Linked DNA regions of Mytilus edulis. The protein of the gene in region 1 purifies or fractionates together with the protein of each later gene. This does not show direct contact. Links are inferred from orthologs where the notes say so. Each region holds a gene or a part of one and is shown in the gene's direction. Other genes may lie near its edges.

Region 1 (12,672 bases):
GTAAGCGGCAGATCCTGCTCCACATGTGGCACCCGTCGTGTTGCTTATGTGATTACAAATCCGGTAAATAGTCTAATTCAACAATACTAATGACATTGATAAAGTTATAAAAAAAACTTATCCGACCAAGTTAATTTTAATATCTTTGAACATCTGTAATGGATAGAATGGACGACACCAGAAAAAAAAACCCACAGTTATTAGTAGTCTTTCGATATAATAGACGTAGTTCCAAAAAAGTTGCAGGGTGCTGTGCTAAATGAAGTGAAAGAGGATAATATTGTTAATTTAGCTAAGAGCTATAGAGGATATTAGTTTTATCGAATGAGATAGAATATGTATCATTTTTATTTAGTGTTGATACACCAAAACAATATCAAAGCTAGAACTAAAATATTGGTGTGAAAGTTCTAGATTTGATAAGTACGTTTGAAGATAAAAGTAAAGTAAAAACGCTAACCTTGATTCCATGCCATTTACTCTTCCTATAAACTCTTCTTTTGAATATACTGCATTTGTCAAAGTTTGGTTGACATCTTCTGTTTTGAAAATTTCTGCCTCTATGCTAATGGCATTATCCTTTGCTGACGAATTACTCGGAAGATTATGTATGCTTACAGAAATACTAGGATCTTCTAAATGTATTCTAATCTGCATATCCGTGTTTGAGTTATATGGAGAACCTAAGTCGGCAAGTGGTGTTGTTTCTGTTAGTTCAATTTGTGTTAAATCAGGTGATGGTGGTGCTTCTGCTACTTCACTTTGTTCTAAACCAGGAGATGGTGGTGCTTCTGCTTCTTCACTTTGTTGCATTAGATCACTGGTTGACATTGATGAGGCTTTCTCTATCGAAATGACAGGTAAATGTGAGCACTTTTCACATGGTTTGTAATTCGGCCGCTCTCTCGAAGGGAAAGCTAAATGTGTGTACTTTTCACATGGTTGGTGATTTAGCCGCTCCCACGTAGGAACAGGTGAATGTAAGTCCTTGTCACATGGTTGGATGTTTGGTCGCTCCCACAAAGGGATAGGTGAATGTAAGTACTTTTTACATGGTTGGTGGTTTGGCCAAAGTAGATTAATTATCCCATCAACAGCACGTTTTTTTGTATCTTTTTCTTTACTTTCTGCAGAGTTTTGGTGAATTGCATTAGTTTCGTTGGTAGAAACTCTAAGTTGTTGGCTTGTTGTTTCTTCGTTTATAATTTCTTAAGACAAAAAGTTGTATATATTGCATTACAAATATCAGATTTGTATACTGACAAAGATGCTACAACATTTAATAAGCAATCATATCATCATTAGACATAAACCAATATTTTAGTTATTATCTAATGTATAATTCATTTTGAGTCCTATAAATCTTCAAAAATAAATCATTCAAATTTAGGACTTCAAAGGCAGATGCTGACAACAGTTTCCATGCAATATCTTTTGAACCGTTCAACCACATTTTTAGCTCACCTGGCCCAAAGGGCCGAGTGAGCTTTTCTCATCACTTTGCGTCCGTCGTCCGTCATCGTCGTCGTCTGTTAACTTTTACAAAAATCTTCTCCTCTGAAACTACTGGACCAAATTTAGCCAAACTTTGCCACAATCATCATTAGGGTATCTATTTTAAAAAATGTGTCCGGTGACCCGGCCAACAAACGAAGATGGCCGCCATGACTAAAAATAGAACATAGGGGTAAAATGTAGATTTTGGATTATATATCTGACACCAAAGCATTTAGAGCAAATCTGACATGAGTAAAATTGTTTATCAGGTCAAGATCTATCTGCCCTGAGATTTTCAGATGAATCGGACTACCCGTTGTTAGGTTGCTGCCCCTGAATTGGTAATTTTAAGGAAATTGTGCCGTTTTTGGTTATTATCTTGAATATTATTATAGATAGAGAGATAAACTGTAAACAGCAATAATGTACAGCAAAGTAAGTAAGACCTACAAATAAGTCAACATGATCAAAATGGTCGATTGACCCCTTAAGGAGTTATGGCCCTTTATAGTCAATATTTAACAATTTTCATAAATTTTGTAAATTTTTGTAAATTTTTACAAAATATTTTCCACTGTAACTACTGGGCCGAGTTCATTATAGACAGAGATAATTATAAGCAGCAAGAATGTTCAGTAAAATAAGATCTACAAACACATCACCATCACCAAAACACAATTTAGTCATTAATCCATCTGTGTCCTTTGTTTAATATGCACAATGACCAAGGTGAGCGACACAGACTCTTTAGAGCCTCTAGTTAATATGATGTTGAAGATGAAAAAATGGAAATCAAGTTTGATATTGATGATTTTCACTTTTACCGTGCAGGGGTTGATTTTGAAATAGCTTTTTGTGTCTTTTTATGATTATGGTCCTAGGAAGACTTAGTTTGGAAAATGCCACTTATGGCAGTTGTTATCAAATAGTCCGTTTCGCTGTATGTTGGCGTTTGATTTTTGTTTCTCTTCAGTTTTTTCTGTTCCGTTGTCTTTCTCTTATAGTTGATGTGTTTCCCTCGGTTTTAGTTTGTAACCCTGAAGTGTTTTCTCTATCGATTTATGATTTTTGAACAGCGGTATACTACTGTTGCCTTTATTTATGTGGTTTTAGTGTTTGTTTCTAATGGCAAAATGAGGTTAAATTTATATGGTCCTTGATATATTGGAAAATACACAAAGAACGTGGCAGGTCAAACAACCTTAAAAGTAAACGCCTTTAAATTGAAAACAATTTTCTCTGAATTTGACAGCTTCAGTTGGTTTTTTTATGTTTATGTCGCTGTGTATCTTTATCTTTAAAGCATACAAAGATATGACAATAAATTTGTTTAAAAGATAAACAGATAGTTGTACATTAATTTGAACGTCTACCTGAATGTAAAAGATACCTCTTTTGTTAGAACTGTGAAATACCTGTTTTGTTAGAACTGTGGAATATCTGTTTGGATATAATGCAAGTTGAACTTGACAGTTCTTCATTTTCATCAGACCTCATTCTATTTTGATTGTGATGAAGGTATCTCGGGCTGAGCCTTGATCTTTGACCGCCTTTACAGCGTTCTAATACATCCCTAGATATTACTTCTACATTGGCTATAGGGTGTGGTAATTCTGGTAAAGTAAACATATCGTCTTTTAGAAAACTGTCTTCTAGAGGCTGGTCAATAATCAGTTCTTCACAAGTTTCCAAGCTCTTGTCTGGGTGTAGTGGTTGTATGTTGTCATATGGCAGGGTTTCTGCATAAGTTGCTGGCTGGCGGAAATAAGACTGGAAAGGACTTTCCGATTCCATCATCAACGTGTCGTGGCTTATCATTCTACCCTCACACTTGACACAGCAATACGACGTTTTCTTTAATAATCCGGGTTTGAAATCTTTCAACTACAAAGTCAAACAACCGGTGACATGCATTTTGTGGTGACGCTAGTTCATGGCCACCGGCACCTACGAAGCTAGATTAATTTGTACGTGGATATTTTTTATTAATAATGCGTGAAGTGAATATTTTTCACATTGCCGATAATAGAAAGAAATATTTCTTTTCAAATATTAATTTGCACCCTCGTTATGAATTCTAAACTGAACTTCTACGAAAATGTAGTATTTTGATAACATAGGCTTGATACCAGAATGAAATGTATGACGTAAGCATTAGTTAAAGAAGTTTTTAAAGACTGAAGTTTCTTAGTTTAACGCTAGCTTACCACTTGAAGCGAAATATAGACTTCACATTCTACCTGTATCTACACTTTATTACTACATGTACTTATACTGGATAATTATTAAGACTATTTTTCTATCGTTATTTAACTGCCCTTATATTCATATTTTAGTATTATATAGAACATAACAAACCTAGTGAGGAAAAAGTGAAATACATATTTACAAATAAGAGGAAAATACGCGAACAAGACAAATTACTAGAAACAGAAGACCGACGATGAACGGTAAGGCGTCTAAAGTTTACACAATAAAAATGCTCTCAAATGATACCAGCTAGACGCTCCAGAAGATTTCTATTGAAGTTTTGTTTTGGCTAATATGATGAAGATATTCCTTATGTTTCGATATTTTGTAATATAAAATGAAACTTTATCTTTTTAGGGAGGCCTCAATCGGTATGAGAGTGGTCTTAGCAGTGTTTGACATCAACCTTAATTGATCAGGATTTTCAGTTCAAGTTTCATGCAGAAGGTCGTTGGTTCTCTCCAACCTCCCTACCAATAAAAACTAATTGCCACGATATAGCCAATATCACTGAAAGTGGCTTTAAACGCCAACAATTCATGATATTTTACATGATTCTTATATTTCTATTAAATAAAAGTCAAGCATGTAAGATTTTGAAATTCTCAGTGACATTTCTGATATTTGTGTTTTTAATCTTTTGTCAACGATCTTTGAATCTATGTTTTAGCTGGAACGCAGATAACATTAAAAATATTTACCTCAGATTTAGATCTGAAATCAGGACATGACATTTTTTTACCATCCAACTTCAAATAAGACGTTTCTCGAATGGGAGATGACGGTGGGTTATCGGGAGACGATCTTCCACCACATTGGCTGCATTCACTACAAGTTGTACTGCTAAATGATTGGCTGATGTAATACTGCCGTCTATGTACTAGTGGCGTACTTGGCTGCAATAAAAATCAACAAAGAATGTAGAAATGCAATTACTGTAATTCATTTTTTAAGAGTTAATACCATTAACAAAAGGTTTTTCATTTTTTAATTGTTTACATTTTGTCATGTCGGGGCCATCTATTGCTAGATGTACAAAGTATGACCCCATGATGACCATTATCTCTCAGAAGCAAATGTTCCTGCATGTGCAGGTAGAATTTAATTATGATTTTTTTTCACATACAGTGTTCTTAGTTGTGTTCAAACAGTATGGTTAAGCAAATACAATCAAAGCTACTCGTGTCATTTTCGGGGATACAAGTCGACCCACTTTAAACATTCAAAGCCAAAAGTTAGAAAACTTACGGTCAAAGATGTACACAATTTGCATAACTTGCCTGAGGTCAACTTTTCCTGAAGAGGTGCAATTCTATATTTCAGATTGTTATATCTGATTCATAGAGTTCAATAATCATCATGTTTATGATGTTTTGTATACTATTAGGCGTACATATCAGTTAGATTATGTACAAACGACCCAACGTCCTCGTAAGAAGGATGGATCGTTGACTAATATATATATCTAGACGTTTTTTATATACATTTTTGACAATTTCTTATGTAATTGCATTTTTGAAATATTACCAGACGGAACTGCAGGTTGGATAGAGCGTCCAGTTTTTCTCCATTGACACTCAGTGGTCCTGTTTGTATATCATCTTTGGCGCATGCAGGATCATAAAACGTGTGCTGATAATACTGGGTAGTTGATGGTCTTTGTGGAAGAAGATCAATCTTAACATAAAAAATGAATATTATGTAGGTCTGCTTTGTGTTTTTATATTCATGAAATTAATTGGTAATTTCTTTTTCCATTCTCTTTGCAACAAATCAATGTATCAACACCACTCAGTGGCGGCATATCTGGTATAGGTATACCTGATATTTATCATTAATGAACTAAGAAAAAGGACATATAAAATAACTAGTATTACAACTCATATAACTATAAGAAAGAGGTAGGTCCAGTTTCCACTGAATTTCTGTCAATCGCAGACTCCAAATTAAAAAAAAGGTAAAACCTGGAATGTGTATAGAAAAGTCGCAACAATACAAATTATAGATTGTACAAATTTTCATAAAAAGAAAATGCTTTTCATCGCTTTACATCGTTGTCGAAGACGGTTTTGTTACAATATTGGAACAAAACCTTGTCAAACATTAAACTGAATATGTTTTTGAACTAAGAACAACATAGCGGCTGGCAAAAGTTTTCTCTCAATGGAATTTGGGTTTTTGTTTGAGATTTTTTTTTATTCATGTTTGCGAAAATTACTAAAAATTTGCAAATTATCAAACCGGCACTATACACATGATGTTGTCATGTTGTGAATTTTAGTAAAGATTGATTTTTTTTTTAAAGTGAAATCTTCAACTGTCAGAGTTTTCTTAGAAGCTATAAGCAATATGTGGTTGATTATCTAATTGTTTTTTTTTTCTTCTTCTTCTAAGTGTTTCATTTTAAAATTTTGGTTTCAACAGTACCTAATGGTGATTACGCACTAGATTAAAGTTGTCCACATCATTCGAGTGAGATACAATACCACGGATTATTATAACACATTCTTTTCTTTAGATATTGCACGTACCTCTCTCGGTTTTCTACGTATTCCAGTTCGACTTTTAAGTGTGTGTGTCAGCTCTGTATTTAAAAGGGATAGCCCTTGTATTTCCTTGACATCACAGCTGCCTTCCCTGCTTCGGTTGCCCGCTGTCAAACTACCTATCTAAAAGGGGGAGTAAAAACAAATAAATGACAGGAGCTATACATACAAAGGAGTTCGAGATAGGTCATCTGGTACGTCGACGTTGGAGTTTTATAATACATTTTTGTTTTGTGTGGCTTATTCTTATTATACACCTATCCAGTTGTAAATTCGTATGGGGTTTTTCTTGGGGGGGGGGGGGGGGGGGGCGCTAGGCTTTATAGTTGTTTTTGTTATTAATCATTGGTGGATAGTGGATCATAATGGACTGGTTGTAAGCTGCGTCAGTGCCCAATGTCGCGGCGAGAACAAAAAGCAGTGTTGAACTACCAAAATCAAAGTTAACGTAAAAGATACATTTGTTAAAACCTATATTACTTTTAAGTTTTCACAGAAAACAATTGTCTAAGTTCAACACGTGATGAATTACTTACTTCACGATCTTCTTTGGTAACATTAATCATCTTTGAAGAGCGTTTATACAATCGAATGTAATTTGGCTTCGTTAATATCTTTTTAGATATTCTTTGAATAAAACATTCATATCTACCTTAGCAACTTTTGTCTTGTCTAACCCTTTAGTTGAAGTTGATGGTGAATGGAGGGGTCCATTGTCTGGATTGTATTCTATTAAGGATACAGTTGTCATTATAACACAAGAAGATCCTTTTCACTCCATTTTCGAGATACGCCGATATCGAATGGTAACGTAACGTCATAATAGCTTAGTTGTTAGCGCCTGTGTCATTGGTCTCTTGTGGAGAGTTGTCTCATTGGCGTAGTACCACATCTTCGATTATCTTTATAATTTAGTTGGGTGTAGGTAGATGCAATAGTGCTGATCTACAACTGATGTTATAAAATCAGATTCTTCAATGGGAAAAAAGCATTTGTTAAAGAGATAGGGAGTACGTTATCATATATTACTTAGAACTTTTAATGTATTCTTTCATATATTCAAAGATTCAATTCTAACCAGATATTACATCCTAATTTTGACAGTAATGTTGTTTAAAAGCCTATCAACTTAGACACTATCCGTGTAAACTCGTTGCACCTCTGAATAAACCCATTATTAAAGAATAAATTATGATCAATTTATCACCGCAGTAAGATCTTGGTATGCATAATAACTTGTGGTTTTACATTTTCGTGATATTATGTATGCATATTTGATGCAATTGTCACATATTTCCCAGACTGTTTGTGGCGTCTTTACACTTAATCCATCGTGTGGCTGCACGAGCCTTCGTATTGCCGGTTCTTAATTGGAAAAAGCAAGCCTGTATTTAATAAATTAATGATGACAAAATTTACGGTTGTAAAAGATTTTTCAAATTTTGTTTTAAACCCTATTTTATCAGTTTGACATTTCCAGTATCAGATTCACAATTCTCATCGCATTTCTTTCTATCACAGTAGCTCTGTACAATGATAAAGATTTAGAGTATATGTTGTTTTATGAACTGCTTAACACAAATGGATGGTACAAGCACACAGTCAGTTTTTTTTCGCATGATTCTATCACATGATGAACTTGACATGAAACAATCTAATCAGAAGCGGATCCAGCCATTTTAAAAAGGAGGTTCCAACCCAGGATAAAGGGGTGTGTGTGTTCCAGCCAAATGTCCCCATTCAACTGCATTGATCGTCCAAAAAAGGGGTTCAAACCCCGGACCCCCCCCCCCTTTTGGATCCGCCCTCAGTGTTCTAATACTGATCATTGTTCCAAAAAAATTCGGAACACTAAAAAACTTTTTATGGATATGAAGTTCTTATTTCCAGTTTTATTACTACTCAAGGAGAGTAGCACAACTTGAGTGACTACATGTTAGGTTGGTATATCTGGATCTGCAGTATAGTAATCTATCCACTTAATTAATCACTTATTCAATTTATATATCATTTTAACAAAATTCTTTTCAATATCACCATTCTGTTTTCTAATTATAATATAGGTGTATTGATCACAAGAAGAAAACTTTGTTCCAAGTGTATATTTTTTATGATAACATCGAAGGGGCGAAATGGTGTGGGACGAACGTGGACTAAACAAATTTAGATATTAGTTATGTCCCTTTGTCTTCGTTCTTTTCAAAAGAAACCATATTTAGACCAAAAAAATGCTTTCCTGACAACAACAAAGTATTTTTTACAAATTAATCGACATAAAAAGCATATTGTACCCAAACTGAATATCATTCAAACAGTTAGAATTGTACAGAAAAAATGGTTTAATTGTATTCCACTGCCACAGGGGTTTTCCTTATTTTGGACACATATTTATACACATAGTATTCATTGAATAATAATACATTGCTACTATTTTGTTGAGTGTATTTTCTGTGTTATATTATTTTATTTTATCATTTTTATAACACTTGTTACATATCTTTTACTGTGTGTGTATTGCATATGTTATTGTTTATAATAATATTGTCTGTATCATATGCCCTCCTGGGGCCCTAATTTGGTAATAAAAAATATTCTATTCTATTCTATTCTATATTCATATTACACAAAATTTTAAGGTTAAAACCGTATTTATATAGAATATTTTATGAAATAAAAGTATGTTGTGAATTTGTTCTCACGATTTTATCCGATTATTTGTTTTATCAGTTTTTAATTAAGAGAAGTCATAAGTCTTAGATGGGCAGTTGCATCGGACTGCACCATATTACAGTTTGGTTTTAGTTTTAAGTTCATTCAACATTCGGTACATATTAGTTATCTTTATAGATTGGTAATGGAACAGTATACAATATTGGGAAGGATAGGAGAAGGCGCTCATGGCATTGTCCTTAAAGCCAAACATATAGAGGTTTGTTATAAATAAATAAATAAATAAGCTTTATTTAGAGTCGGCATGGTATATAAAACATAGACAAACATAAGCTCTAATGAGCTTTTAACCGACATATGAGACATTATTTAACAGTACAACATTTATAACAATATAATACATTATAATATAGTACACATGCATTAAATATCACAGCACAAAAATGAAGCACTAAAAGCAGAATATAAGCATAAGCTAGGTATTAAGGCTAAAAGCATATAAGTGTAAACTAGGCATAAAAGCTGGTAAAAATGCTTAGCATAAAAAAAAAAAAAAAAAAAAAAAATGGGATATGATCTAGATGGTAAATAAATTTTCATAATATATAAACTAAAAGTCTGCACAAACTGTGCACTTACAGTCATTTCCATTCCATGACTTTAAAATATTTTTGAACTGACTAAAATTAGCAATTTTTCTAAAATCATCAGGTAGATCATTCCATAAAACAGCAGCTGTGTATTTAAAAGAGTTCTTACCATAGGTTGTTGTTCTGACCCTAGGTATATCTACAATATTAGAATATCTAAAATTATATTTACAGTCTTTCAAAACAACTAAATCATGTAAGCATGGTTGTGACAATTTATATAAAATTTTAAAACACTCAATAGCCATGTTACGCATACGTCTTATTTTCAGTGATGGAACCTTTGCTCGTAAAAGTAGTTCATCATATGAACTAACATAGTCTTCATATATAAATCGTTAAGCCCTTTCCTGAATTTTTTCCAATTTGGTGGTGTTATTTTTGTTGCAAAAATGCCATGCCAAAGGACAAAAATTAAAATTAGATAAAATAAATGTGTGGAAAATTGTCAGTTTATTCAATTTAGTAAGGTAGCAGCCAATGCGCTTTAAAACATTCAGTTGTTGGGATGCTTTACGACAAATATTTTTAATGTGGTGATTGAAATTAAGTTGATAGTCAATATCAATACCCAAAAGTTTGACAATCTCATCACAGGATATTTTTGCTGACTGTATATTAAAAACAGGCTTTTTTGCAAATGTTTTATTTCCAACTGCAATGGCTTGGAATTTGTCAGGATTTGCCTGCATACAATTAAATCTGAACCAGTCAATTAAAACAGCACTTTCTCTTTCGAGTGTACATAATAAATTATCAAAATCATTGTCAGCATAAGACAGAGTATTGTCATCTGCATAATTATACAAGGTACCATGTTCAATAAAATAAAATATGTCGTTTATAAAAATATTAAATAATAGGGGCCCCAGGATTGAGCCTTGGGGTACCCCTTTCTGGATGTCAGCCCAACTGCTGAGTACTCCCTGAAGTTTGATTTGTTGCCTACGATCTGTAAGATAATTTTGAAGTAATTTCACTGATTTAGAAGAAAGACCGTAGGCAGATAATTTGCTTAAAAGAATATCATGAGGTAAACAGTCAAAAGCTTTCGAAAGATCCATAAGAATAGCTGCCACATACATATTATTATCCAAAGCTGTTTTCCAATCCTCAAGGAGTCTCAGCAAAGTTGTCTGACATCCATGACCTTTTCTGAATGCACATAAAAAAGCATGAAATATGTTCTCAAAAAATTCAGTTAACTGGTCAGACATAACCATTTCATAGACTTTTGAAATTGTTGGTAAAATGCTCACAGGTCTATAGTTCTTTTTATCCAGTGGATCATTCTTTTTATGTAATGGTACAACCTGAGCTTCTTTGAGTCTGTTGGGGAAACTCACTGGATTCTATGGTGTTATTTATTAATGTTGTTATGTGTTTGTTGAGTACTGGTGCACCAGCTCGTAGTAGTTTAGATTGTTTATGGGTTTATGTTATATATGTAGCGTGGTTGCTTCCCCTCCTTAGTACAGGTTACTGAGGTAGAACATTTAAGGCCAGTCTTAATCAACTGAGCTAGGGAATCGATTCTTTGGCTCCGTGGGTTAATGCACTCACTGTCACCCAGGCGACCAGGATTCGAATCTTGGTGGTGACGATATGAATTTGTAGAGTAGATACATGATCTCCGTACATTTGGCGCCCAACTAAACAATCCACGATGGTTAACTGGAGTATAGCTAGGGTTTGTGTTGTTTATATATGACTATGACTCTCGTGGTGGGGGAATAGTGTAGCGGGATTGCTTCCCCTCCTTAGTACAGGTAGAACATATAAAGCCAGTCTTAATCAACTGAACTAGGGAATCGATTCTTTGGCTCAGTGGGTTAACGCACTGACTGTCACGCAGGCAACCGGGGTTGAATCTCGGTGGTGACGATATGAATTTGTAGAGTAGATACATGCTCTCCGGTTACACATACATGCAATTTTTCCTGGGGGAATTAAAATCTTTTATTTTCTCAAGTCTTCTGTCCTTTGTGTGTATTTCAAACACATTTAGTAGTATAAGTTTCAGGTTTAATACTCTCTTTGTTTTTTCATTAACAATGTTTTTTAAATTCTGCTCCATTAAATAATGTTTTTACATGAAAATATGGATAAAAAAAAACTACATGTTAAGTTATATAATAATGATAAGACTGTTCCTTTAATAATTTTTAACTTTTTAAGGACAAACCAAAAAGTATGTATTGAAAAGATACACTTCTAAAAATTCTAAATAATTTATAAGATGTTTATTTTCACCATCAAAATTAAATGCAATAACAACTCAGTTATGCTAAAACTTTCTGGGGTGCTATTATTTGACTTATTACTCTGAGAAAAGTTGATATTAAACTTGTATACACTAGAACCTTGCAGTTTTTACCACCAACGAATTACAAAATTAATGGACATGGTAATGAACTATTTTGTTCACCAATTAAACTGTATGTATAGGGGATGGATGTTTGAAAGCTCATTTTTTCTTCCATCTTTTTTTAAATCCACAAGGTGTTCAAATCTATGAAATCATAATTTTTAATATGGTAAATACAAAAGTTCTTCATCTATCGTACTAATAGAATAAATTTATGTTAATGATCTTAACATACAAAAAATGGGAAATATTTAGTTTCACTATCAAAATGAACACAGAAAAAAACCCATTGATAACATGTTGATTGAAATTCTCCAGTCATGAGACCAAAACTCCATCTAAAAAAAATAAAAATAACTAAGCTGCTTTGACTAGACAACTCTGTAAGATGTCTTTAGTTTTTTTTGACAGGTCATCTATTGTTACACTGATGGACAATAATATAAAACTAGAATGGCAAGCATGGAAATATTTTTGTGAAAAAATATGTTTTTGTATACATTTATTCATTGTAATTTGAGTAATGGTTTATTGAATTTGGGTGATACATATTTCGTATTGTTATATCTGATAAACATGTACATTTTATAGAGTGGTGAAGTTGTTGCCTTGAAAAAAGTTCCACTCAGAAAACTTGAAGATGGCATTCCAAATACAGCACTGAGGTACTTGTGTGTTTTTCATTTTAGAA
Region 2 (13,121 bases), on another chromosome or scaffold:
CTATTATCTCCCCTTCTCTCGCCAGATCTATCCCTACTTCTATCCCTGGATCTATCATCTCCAATTCTATCTCTTGGTCCATCACTGCTCCTGATTCTATCTCTGTCTCTATTACTTTCCCTTCTTTCCCCTGCAGTCTCTCTTGAATGTTTTGACTGATGTAGACTTGTATCCCGACTACTTTTGTCATATCTACTGTATCGTTGGTCTCTTTCCTTAGATCTATCTCTTGTCTGATGTCTTTCTCTGCTTCTATCTGTGAAACTGTACTTACTTTGCTGTCTTTCTCTATAACTTTGAATTTTTTCAGACGTCTTAAATTTATTTAAGTTCTCATAATATTGTGGATTTGATCGATCAGAACGTACCCTGTTTATGCCTCTATAATTCTCATGACCATCTGCATCATGCTCACTACTTTTATCATCCCATGCATTATCATAATGGTCATTATTAACATTTTTAAGAGCTATCATTTTATTATAAATAGGTTTACGAAATGGTCTATCTCTGCCCCCAAATCTTAATTGTCCTGATTCTTTTTTCCCACCAAAGCCTCCCCCAAGTCTTCTAGGTACCCATCCTTTGAGTACTCGTTCACATTCATAATCAACAAAAACTTCAGAACCATCAATTTCTTGCTTATGTCCCCTCCAAACAGCATCCTCAGCCTCTTTATGATCATAATATTCAACAAAAGCATAACACCTAGAATATCCTGTTATAATATCACGTACTAATCTAAATTGCTTGATAACCCCATATCCAGAATAAACTTTTTGGATTGTTGTTTCGTCTGTTTTTGGATTAAGACGAGCTATGAATATTGTTTTCTCTGGATCACCTATTACATCTTTATTTGGTTTGTATTTAGCTGCCATTGCTCTGATGATGCCATGGTCATGTGGTTCTGTATCTGTGGCATCAATACTTCCTGCTTTCAACGGATCATAGACTTTTGCAATTGCAGACCAGTTATCCATTATTTCATTAAAGTTTTTAATCTGTAAAAAAAAGTAAATATATTTTATTATTTAAATTTTCAATGAATTTTTCCCAAAGACTACTATAAATATACACTTGCAAAGGTTAAAGGCACTGAGTGAACAGTATTTTGTTGTCCTTTGTCATCTTACCATCAGTCCTGAGAATATGCACATTGCACACCCTATGAATGCAGATAAGAATATGCTGTTTTAGAATCTAATGACACTTTAATTGTTCCATCATTTTTGTTCCTACCACAAGATGAAAATAACTTCTTGTCATTGGTTGCAATTGAATTTCCACTGTTTGGATCATTTTTACCCATTCACAACATTTTGATGTACACTTTTTTTTTAATTATTATCATGATTATATTACACAGGATGCAAATTTGTAAAGTTATCAATAATTGTTTTCTTAAACTTCAAAATTTAATGGTAAAAACACAATAATGAGATCATTTTCCAGTTTTACAAGGCATACACTGGAAGGATTATTCTCTTCTGAATTCTCCAACACCTTTGTCAACAATCACTGAGACCTTGTGATTACAATGAATTATATCACATAATGTACATGTGTGTAAATGAAGGATGCAAGACAGCTTGCCCCTCTCCAAAATCTTCTCACATCAAATACCCCCCACCTTTTCACAAAATTGCCCCACTCTGGTTTACCAACTCAACTCACTTATGAAGTAGAGGCTGTCAGAGTGACAGTAAACCAGATTTTCTACAGAGGTTGACGGTTGAGCAAGTATTGACACTACATAATCATTTACTAGTAAGCTGAAAACTTAAACAGCTCTGAATTTGGATTGTGATTGAATATTTGACACAGCAATAGGTTTGTGACACAAAATGAATGAGAAGGGGGGGGGGGGGCCAATACCTTTTTATATTAACCTGTTTTGGCCCTTTTCAAGGTGTTGTTAACTGTTATCTGAGATCAATTTAAGCTGTTAACTGTTTTCAACCCTGTTTGTTAACTAGTACTGTTATCAGCATTTTTGCATTTTTTGTTAACTGTTTTTGCCAAAGTCGAGGAAAAAAATTGAAATTAAACATTCACCCATTATGATCCAAAAGTACATGTTTATCAAAGTTTAATTTTGGACCCTGATTTAAACCAACTTGAAAACTGGTTTAGATTCTGCATTTGAAAGAAAACTATATAATTAATTATTATGGAATTTATGTTGAAATGAAACACATTTTAATTTTATTCATTAATTATTAATTTTCAGTTCAAAGGGAAATAACTTAAACTGAATAAATAGAAATAGTTCTCCAAAATTAGATATGATTTAACCACTAAAAACAGTTTTTTAAAATTAGATAAGAGGTTATTTCTATTTTCAAATTATAATCAATAAAATTAATGACCAATTTTTCTTTTGAAAATGTAGTCCAAATAATATGATAACTTGGAAGGCTATTTTAAATTTTTGCTTTGACGCCTTTCTGCGACGTAAGGCGTCAAAGAAAAAAATATAATAGCCTTTCAAGATGTCATAATTATTTGGACTATCGAAAATGCAGTTCAAAATGGTTAAATATTGTTGAATATATAGGTCTTTGTCTGCGCTGTATTGGTCTTAATTGCCACTGACATGATAATTGGATTAGAGATAACTGAAATTTAACTTCAATATCTCAGGGATCTCCATGAATGAAAATTGAACGATGGAGGAACTTTCACAATCACAAACCGTGTCTACGCCATACAGTGTAGCGTGATCGAAAGTATTTCATCCCTCCATGTCAGGAATGGTGAACATGCTAATTCATTTACTTATCTACCATGATCTACGGTAAATTATATTTACTTGAATTTTCATTATACAAGTATCAAAATTTTCATTAATTACCGTTTGTAACTATTCAAATGCCAAGCCTTCATAGTCCCCTCTTAGTCGAGAATGACCAAAAGCTGTCATGAAGGTCCCCATGTAGTTTTCTTGCTATTTTTTGGTACTTGTTATGGGGGTTAAAAATCATGTGGAGCTTATTTTTCACGGGAACTGTCAAATTCAGAAGTCATGATTCATGACTCATGAATCCATTACCAGTATGGCTGATTTGCAGCAACAACAAAACAATTCTTTCGGTTATGTAAAAGGTTGAAGAGATTTAAAAAGCAAACATTGACAAATGAAAAGGTTTTTAATGACTTTATCTAGCAAATTGATGCTATGCAACATGCATCTTTCGAGTCTGAATATAAACTGGAAACACGGATGTATCAATTTGATTGTAAATTAGGAAATGAATCGGAATTGCGATACGATATTTCTTCACAGTAAATACTTAAGTTTTTACTTTTTAACTTTTAAAGTAATTCTATAAGATCGTTACAGCAGTACTCAAATTATTTGAGATGAAATAATATTAATGTTTTACATCTTATTTTGTACTTCTTAAAAAAGGGGGATGCTGATTGCGTAAACTCCAAATAAAAGCACATGTTCGACTTGTTAAACTGTTTTCTTTGTAACTGGATTATTAATTTATTTTTTATAGTCTAAATTATTATAAGCTTTTTCTGAAACTTAGGTGAATAACTTGATAAACGAATCGTCTTTCTTCAGACATTTCAGATAGTATTCTCCTGTGTGGTTTGTTGATCTACCTGTACAAGCTCGGGTACAAGTAATTAATTATCTTTATCTAGATATCCCTCAGGCGTTTGAACTGTATTGGATTATAATATAAAAAAGCCTAAGGGTTATGCAATTACATGCATTTGATTATAATTGCTAAAAAAATGGAAAGGTTTCTTATCGTCGAGTTGCAATTTATGAGTTAAGAAAGTCGAGTTGCAAGTTAGGAAAGTCGAGTTGCGAGTTAAGAAAGTCGAGTTGCAAGTTATGAAAGTCGAGTTGCGAGTTAGGAAAGTCGAGTTGCGAGTTAGGAAAGTCGAGTTGCGAGTTAGGAAAGTCGAGTTGCGAGTTAGGAAAGTAGAGTTGTGAGTTACAAAAATATCTTTGACACCTAATTTTCAGGTTTGATTCACACTTGATAAACAAAGCATGCATGTATCCGAACTAAGTTATTCCCGTGATTGCAGAATTTGAATGAGGTATATGTGATACTTATTTATAAGAGTCTAGTAAAAGTTAAGTTCTGGAAGTATTTGAAAAAAAATAATGTTTCCTTAAAGGACGAGATCGATCTTATTTATTCCAGTGCGTTTACACTACAACATAAAAAGGATAAAAAGAACCAGTCTGACCATAAATTACCTTATTACCGTATATTTGGTAAACAAATAATCCTAAAAATAGAATAGTAAAGGAAATTCGGCATCTCGCGTGGACTATAACACACTGCAAAATAATGGAGAAAATAGTTTGCTCATTGGAATTTCGTATGGATTAAATTTTTAAAAAGCTGAATATTCATAATTTGGAAGTAAAGCTTTACTTTTTTCTCAAGTCAGTTAACAGAGGCGGATTTAGAGGGGTTTTCAGGGGGCCCTGCTCCCCCCCTTTTTTGCAAAAAATTTGGTTTATTATATAGAGAATCACTGAAGTATGACTGGAGCGGGTCCCCTCTTAGGCAGTCAGTGGACCCCCACTTATGAAAATTTCTGGGTCCGCCATTGGTTAAGCAAAAACTTTGTTATATTTTGGTACAAAAAAAAAAGGTACAAAGAGTTATAAATTAGATACTTATTTCAAATTGAAAAAATGTTTTTCTAAAGAAATGTACCTACATGCATCTTTAAAACAATTTTAAAATGAAGTGTCATATGTAAAATCAGAATCAGTGGCCATGATCTCAAAATAGAAAGAGACTGATATAAAACTTTATATAATAAGACTTTAAAGGCTTTGTAAGAAATGTACTCTAAATCTAGTTGAAGATGAATAACATTTCATTACAAGTTGTCCAGCATGTACAAAGATGATCTGAAGGGAGATATTTTACAGTCTCTGTACTAATTTTTCCTATCTCTCAAATGAGACAAAATTTGTTTGGTTATTTACTAATGAAAATTTGTCTGTACTTAAATATTTAGGAAACTATATTATTACATATCGAGATGTTAGACGAAATGTAAATGAATATATGTACATTGTAATAACAATAATAATGTTAATTGTAATGATTTTATAGTTCAGGTCCTGTCTTGAATTAAATGTATGTGACTTATTAGAATAACATTTCAACAGCAACCCAACCAAAATATACAATTCAACCAAAGGCCATTAGGTTTTCAACACAGCGAGGATCACCCACCTAGAGGGAGCCCTGAGCAGGCCCAGAAACACAATGTTCATTACATCAAGAATATGGACCCCATTCTATGCTCCTAAATATAAAGATAAACCAAAATTTTTAAAAATATGCAAGAGTAACAAAGGCTAACTATTAAGGTTCCTGACTGAGCACCTTCATCTCTAGCCGATGTAGACATACAATGTATATAATTTTAACGTCCACAATATTGAGTGTCACTGCCAAAGAATAAATTTTGCGGTCCCTAACGAAAAAAATTGCCCGGCTCTGGAGCTGCCCCATAAAGCTCACTCTATACGAAATCTGCAGAACTGAAGGGTTATTTTACATTTATGTATTAAAGTTTGGTTGCTATCTCCCTTTATGTTTAATATGACGGTGCTAGCTATGAAATTTAATAATAATTAAACTGCAAGCCATCCGCTGTATTTCAAAAGGCTATCTGCTTCTTCAGAAAATACGATACGTATGATTTATATGTAAGCAATCCATTTTATTTTTACAAGAGACTCAGATGAAGTCCAAACAACAAAAATAATCAACAATACTGTATACAATTCTATAAGCCATCATCATTCCAAATAAATATAAATCACTGAGTTTCGTTAGCACATTTTGACGCAACTCGACTTTCCTAACTCACAACTCGACTTTAATAACTCGAAACTCGACTTTCTTAACTCGCAACTCGACTTTCTTAACACACAACTCGACTTCTGTAACTTGAAAATCGACTTTCTTAACTCGTAACTCGACTTTCTTAACTCGTAACTCGAATTTCTTAACTCATTTGTGACTTGCAACTCGACTTTCTTAACTGGCAACTCGACTTTCCTAAATCGCATTTCGACTGTAGTAACTCTTTACTCGCAACTCGATACTCAACATCAAGTGAATCTCAAAAAATGGTGTTGAGCTATAAAAAAAGATTACAGTTTTGAACGATGGCGGAAGACAATTTAATGATGGCGCAGGTTATTTGATGATGGCGCAAGACAATTTAATGATGGCGCAAGATATTAGAACAATGGCGAGGCACAGGATATTTAAACGATGGTGGGGAGCCATGACTTTAAACAGGCCATGGAGATCCCTAATATATATTGAATTTTCAAATGTGCAGACAAGAAAATAAGCATGGCGTGGGTAATTTTAACTTAGCGTTTGTAGTTTTAGCTTGTTGCACTGCCACACTTAATTATTAGGTTGTGATGATCCCTGTTTGAATAATGTATATTGATTTAGGTGTCATACCACCAATTACTCCCTCAAATTTAGAACGTATGTGAAAGTAGGCCTACTCGGACAAAAAAAAGTGCATTTGATGTCATTGTTCACCTAAACTAACCAACAAATTTGCAGAAATGAAAGTTTTGTTCAAAGAGAAATATATTAAGACCATTTTGAGCCAAAATTTACCTGTCTATGAGTTTGCATTAAAAATTGAGGATTAATGCGCTCCATAGTATACTAATTTAAGATTTCCAGAAAACCAGGGGTTATTTTTAGTGGTACCTCCTTTCGGAAGCTCTCTGCTTTCTTATATGATTTTGAATGTAACGTGACGGTACCCAAATTGCACCTATTTTGACAGTTTTTTCATCTACGTTTTTTTATGATGAAGACAAAAATGTCCAGTCTGTGTTTATTTTGTAGCCCTATCCTTCTTTATTATAAAGGTACACCAATTTGATTTTTATTTCATATGGAATCATAGAAAAATTGGTCTAAACTGACCTCCAAACCATCAATGATTCTGAAATTAGGAGTACCCAAATTGCTTCCATGCTTAAATTCGCATCGTCAAAAGTCTAATAACAGAGCTTTTGTTTAATTTCTTTAAATATTTTGAACAATTGGATATTAGTCCATGCTTACTCTTCATTATTTTTTAAATGGATACTTGTAACATATTGTATTTGCTCATTTTAAAAAGATGACGTTTTGATGACGTCGCATGGTGACGTTTCAGTACATTTTGCTTTTTCAGTAAATACTTCATCTGTTGATAGATACTGTGAACGTTTTGTGCATATCTAAATAGTTTTACCTATGTTGAAAGATGTGCTTAGTATCAAATCATAAAAAAACAAATTGTTTAGTCTCTAGAAAATCTTGTAAGATTTTCGCTGCTAGTTTTGCTAAATAGGTGCAATTTGGGTACTTGGTGCAATTTGGGTACCGTTACGTTATGTTGAAAATTGGCATGAAGAAAGGTGACACCTGTACAATTCAGGATATACCTAGTTTCTATGAAGTTAAACTTAAGGTAAAATATTTAGAAAGCTGTGAAAATTGCAAAATTTGGTTGAACAGATAGGGACTTTTAATTGGTGGTATGACACCTTTAGTGTCCTGTATTCTGTGTCCAACAATAGCAGATAACATTATCATATGGGTACCAGACAGTACAGCTAGTTCATGGAATTTTTTTTTTGCGGCTACAAATTCATATCATGACTAAACAACAGCTTTTTTTAAGTTGTATAAACCAGCATTTTAGGTGTTGATTTAATTACCATAAAAATGTTGATAAGTTTGCTTACTCAACTCTAAAAGATAAGAAGGTTTTGATGGGTCTGGTTTTTTTCTCAAAGTAACCAGTCGTATACACTATTTGCGGTTGTCGTGTATGGGAATCTAATTAAAAAAAAATATTTGCATTTTATTTACTTTATCAATATATGGTATATTAAATATCATATATTAATCATGGAATCTGCTATTTTTTTTAATTAAAATCATTGTTTTTATTCAACATGCACCGGTAATAGTATGTCGTAAAAAACATTCAGAAGTGAAAGTTGATAATCTTTCCGTATTTTTATTTGCAATTTGTTTTTCTAACTGTCACTTAAACATTCCAGTAACAAGAAAGTAGGTAGATGAGATGATAAAATACATCAGTTACGAAAAGTTAACTGTAGATTGATAATTGCTACGAATTTGATCATTTGATGTTCAGAGTGTGCATGTTTGACCTTTTTAGTTTTTGACAGCATGATTTACAGACCGGTATCAAACACTGGCTTAGGTACAGACTGCAGGATTTTTAATTAAAAAAAAATGTTTTTTTTTTTTGCAATGAATATTAAAATTTTCTATTTTCATACCACATACTTAACATTACAATACTTGTCTTGAAATTTTTCTGATGAAATTATCAATATAAAGTACGTAGCAATACCACCGCTAGAGCTACACAATACACCTTATCGCTATTCCCGGCTGACCCGTCCGCTTGAACTTTTGACGTCAACAACAATCACTTTTCCATTGTGGCGTCAGACATTTTGTTTTATGACGTCAAAATTTTACGGGAACCTGTGTGATTTCCAGCAATGGCGGACAAATAGCGATAAGGTGTATACAACATCCATAGCTAGAGGACACACAACACTATTTCTTGTACCGTATGCCAGAACTTCAACATACAGGCATTCCTTCTTTCCAGACAGCATACAGATATGGCCTTCCACAACCTTTGGTGGATAGTACCTAACTAGATGCTTTCAAGCAGGGGGTACTGAGCTGTAGTATCCCTTAATCGCACCATCAGACTGTTTTTAACTTGCACCTGTAAATATTTTCTTGCACCTTTGTTGTCACACCCAGCATGGGCAATAGTGCGATAATACTCAATTAGAGGACTGCACTGTATTGGAAGAAGAAAAAGTAAATTTTGTTCTATCATGTCTATAATGACTTTTTTAATGTACTTTTGAATATTGGTTAGGAATGTCTTCTTTGGCAAAGAAAGTTGAATCCAGAGGTTGCAGCTTTATCTGAGTATTTTCATAATAATGATGCAGAGAGCATCTACTACTCATGCTACTGGCACATACAAGTGAAATCAATCAATTCATTTGTAAAGTTAGATATTTTCGCCATGAAAGTATGTCCACCAGACACTATTTCACAGAATTGTGTCCACTGTTATTATGAAATTTTGTCAGGATGATATCTTGTCCTCAGATGTGAAAAGTGTCCTTCAAAGAAAGGACCATATTTCATAGGCTAAGGGTTCCTTCATAGAATGGACAGTATCTTACACAAAACAGTGTCTACTCTCAATACCTATGTATGGGGGTTTTGTCTCTAATAAACATGATAAAACACATGACATGTAAACTTTTAGTTTTTAAATCATACGAAATATCATCACCATGTGTAATTTAACATTAATTTTACAATAAAAACATGCACTTATACACACACAAACAGTAATAGAATTGAGAATGGAAATGGGGAATATGTCAAAGAGACAACAACCCAACTTAAAGGCAGTAAGCAGACAAAGGTGTTGTTCATGAAATGCATTTAAAAATATTTTGTTTAGAACAACAGAAACCCAGATATATATTTATACTATTAAATGAGAAGACCTCATTTTGTGTGTTGCTTCTCTTCCTTCCACAATAAATTAATCATCATGCCTTTGTGTCCTATAGGCATGATATATAGGTACAATGCATAGTCTCATTTATCATTTATTTATCATCCTTGCTTATGATTATTCAGTTTGGGTTATTTTGGGAGGAAAATAAACATGATAAAGGTGTCCAGATATTGTTTTAGACTAGATTTTAAGTACTTTGGGACAGTACAATTATTTTAGAGTTTTTCTGTATACTGTGATCATACATACATGATATATAGTATAAATAAAGTGTATTTGCTATTTACTATCAATTCCAATACTGTTGTTTACTTTCCACCATTTATACATGTTTACCCGTACTACATTTTTGTACATGTTATAGTATGTGTTCATTATATACAGAAAAACAACAAAAAATGGTCTGGAAAAAAGGGGAAGGGCTAAAAAAAATAATTGTCCTGTTCTCAAGTACAATGTACCTATGACTAATGAAACCTTTCCTGTAATTTTCCAGGTACAATTTTTTTTACAAAAAATTATCCTTCAACAGATTACATATGCTCTAAATGCGATTTCTTGGGTGTGTTCTAGTTAAATTGAAAAAAGAATATTAAATTATTAAGACATCATTAACCTCTAGATATTACAATGTATTATGCAGGTCATAGGTTAAAAAACGCTAAACAAGGCCTTAGGCAGCAACCATTTGATTTTTTGAGGGGGCTATGGATTTTTTCAGCCTTATTTTGGCGACAAGTCGAAAACATTATTCTTTCAATTTTAGCATTACATACATGTATAGTGGCAGCTGAGGGTGAAACAAACATTTTTTTTTCTCAAAGTAAAAAACAAATTATTTTTTTCTCCAAAAACTGGAAACAGACTTCTTTCCAAAAAAATCCATAGCCCCCCCCCCCCCCCCCCCCCCCCCAGAAAATCAAATGGTTGCTGCCTTATAATTATTGTGAAGAATAAAATGATTAGAGAGACAACGGAGAGCTAACTAAATAATTCATTATCATTAACAACTCTTTACAGTCTACCATGCACCTGTTATGAATATATTTCACACATATAGTGAATATAAAGCCTCTTTTGTTACATGATAAGTGGTAATCAGGTCATCAATGGATTATTTGGACTTGTCAATCAATAATATAGTTTCTGTTTTACAGGTACATTTTGGTCATTTATTACAGGCTACATGTATATCAAATACAATATAAACATTTTTTGATGAAATAAGAAATTTGAAGGATTATTTTAATTTGTAAAAAATATAGTACAGTGTAGTATATCAAATACAATATAAACATTTTTGAAGGATTATTTTAATTTGTAAAAAATATTAGTTATATTTTTTACAAATTCAAATAATCCTTCAAATTTCTTATTTTATCAAAAAATGTTTATGTTGTATTTGATATACATGTAGCCTGTACACGTGTACATTAGCCATGAAAACTCAATCAATAATAATACAAATTGTACATCATTGTACAAACAGCTATATATGGCTTAGTGCACATGTCAGAAATCTCCTTTTAGTTTTTAGTGTTTAAGCTCTCTTTAAGCATTTAGTATTTAGTCAGGCGCAGGACATTTTAGGGAGAAAAAAAATAGCTACATGTACTAGGGGACATTTGAGCGACAACACTAGAGCCCATTTTTGCATTAGATTAATTCGTTCACCTGTATATTTCGATAGCCCGTTTTAGGGAAAACTTACCTGGTTGAATATTAGTAACTCACTAAGCTTTGGGCAGAAGTTCATTGTATTTTAAAGGGAACAAATAGTGGTCCAGAGTCGTTCCATGACCATTATAATGAGCAATGTTATAGTTGTCATCCAGCTATTTACGTTTTTCTTGATACTATTTTCAAATTGCAAACAACATATACAAAAACACGAAGTATAGACGAATGTGCATCAAAATCTAGACAAGATAAAGAGAAAGAACAGTTTCTAATGCAATTCAACAGTATTGTATGGGGGGTATATCCAGAGCCCATTACGTACGTTCTCTAGGACATAAATTCCAGGCTAGAACGAACTTGTAACATTTGATTAAATCTTTGAGACATTTAGTGCTGTATTTTAATGGACATCATATGTTTTATATTGTGATGTCTTGAGTCTATTAAAGTTTTTCGCTAAAATGGGTTCTACTTTGGCGCTAAAACGTCTGATTTTTTTCGGAACATAGTGATGATTAGTTGAAAAGTTCCAACAGAACATATCAACTAGTTAGAAAGTTACTTTTTGCCAAATTAGTCAAAACCAGAACTAACAAACTAGCCCAAAAGTTCCAACAGAACTTATCAACTAGTCACAAAATTCCATTTTGAGAATTGATGCAAAGACCCACATGAGGAGGGGGTATTCTTCCCTCTCTTGAGGGTACTATGAATACTAAATTTGCATGATAATGCAACTTATTACGTTTTATGTGAGCTATGAAATACAACTTAAATTTTGCTGGGTGAGTTTGTTCTTCCCCCTTAGTACATCAAAATTTAAATACATTTTCATTATTTCCCCAAAAATAAGGTTCCATTCCCCTTTTTTCATTTTTGTCCCCCAAAGAAACCCCTTTCAGTGCGTTGGGTATTCTTGTAAATTAATGATTTACTCTTATTTATAGTGAAACTCATTCTTCTCCCTCTTTCTACAAAAAGGACGAAATATGGTATATTCGGAATGATGTAACTAGTTGTTCTGTTCTGCCATTGTCCCGGGACTTTTCAACTGGCTACTTTTTTCCAGAACTTTTCTGCTGCACTCGGAATAAAACAACCAGTTTGTAAAGTGACATCGAAACAAAATAACTAGTTGAAAAGTTCTGCCAGAACAAAGTAATTACGGAAGATAGTGGCTGTTACATTGTTGCCTATTATAAAGAACTATTTTTCCCCACCATTCTTAATCAAACTGTAAATTGCTGTTGCTTTTGGTGAATTAATTGATCTTGAAGATAAGACTCTTGCAAAATTCTAGATTATCTGAACTGAGTATTTCATTTTTAATTATTTATATATAATTTTAGTGTCTGATAGTGACCAAAATACTAATGCCATCACAGAGGAGCAAAGAAAACAACAGCTAGCAAAATTAAATTTGAATGTGGATGAATCTATAACTGCAAGTGACAGTCAAGCCCATGTGTCTAATAAACAGGTCAATGGCTTTCCAGATAAAACAGGGGACACAAACATTCAAACAGGGGTAATAACAGATAGTGTTAATATATCAGAACAAACAAATAAAAGTGATTCCATAAATTCTAGTCAAGATAAAACTGACACCATTCAGAGTAAAAGTGTGCCTAATGAAATCGTAGAAGACATTGCCGATGACATATCGGATGGAATCGTGAAAGATTTTTCTAAAAATATAGCTACATATGTAACAGAGGTGTGTAAGTTTGATGAACAATACGAGAAAGAACAAATGAATGAATCGTCAGAAACTCAGGATAAAGATTCAGCTAGTTCAAATAGTGAAATAA

The links.
Region 2: the proteins of cyclin-dependent kinase 20-like (region 1) and peptidyl-prolyl cis-trans isomerase FKBP8-like purify together in Homo sapiens (affinity purification with mass spectrometry; 5 studies listed by BioGRID and IntAct, with this or other methods). This does not show direct contact. The link is inferred for Mytilus edulis from reciprocal best matches to the Homo sapiens genes CDK20 and FKBP8.

Annotation. Positions count from the first base shown.
Region 1 is NC_092344.1:102,308,969-102,321,640, reverse strand, and holds the start of cyclin-dependent kinase 20-like, read left to right. Parts: upstream 1-7,205; 5' UTR 7,206-7,303; intron 7,304-8,471; exon of another isoform or gene 8,472-8,543; intron 8,544-8,908; exon of another isoform or gene 8,909-8,929; intron 8,930-9,128; exon of another isoform or gene 9,129-9,140; 5' UTR 9,141-9,147; coding exon 9,148-9,222; intron 9,223-12,572; coding exon 12,573-12,646; intron 12,647-12,672. Other genes in the region: uncharacterized protein, read right to left, coding at 461-1,208, 2,913-3,381, 4,449-4,643, 5,275-5,424, 6,279-6,416, 6,946-7,044. UniProt on the Homo sapiens protein: Required for high-level Shh responses in the developing neural tube.
Region 2 is NC_092347.1:90,561,914-90,575,034, forward strand, and holds the start of peptidyl-prolyl cis-trans isomerase FKBP8-like, read left to right. Parts: upstream 1-7,994; 5' UTR 7,995-8,107; coding exon 8,108-8,108; intron 8,109-12,659; coding exon 12,660-13,121. Other genes in the region: U11/U12 small nuclear ribonucleoprotein 35 kDa protein-like, read right to left, coding at 1-1,004, 7,751-7,753. UniProt on the Homo sapiens protein: Constitutively inactive PPiase, which becomes active when bound to calmodulin and calcium. Seems to act as a chaperone for BCL2, targets it to the mitochondria and modulates its phosphorylation state.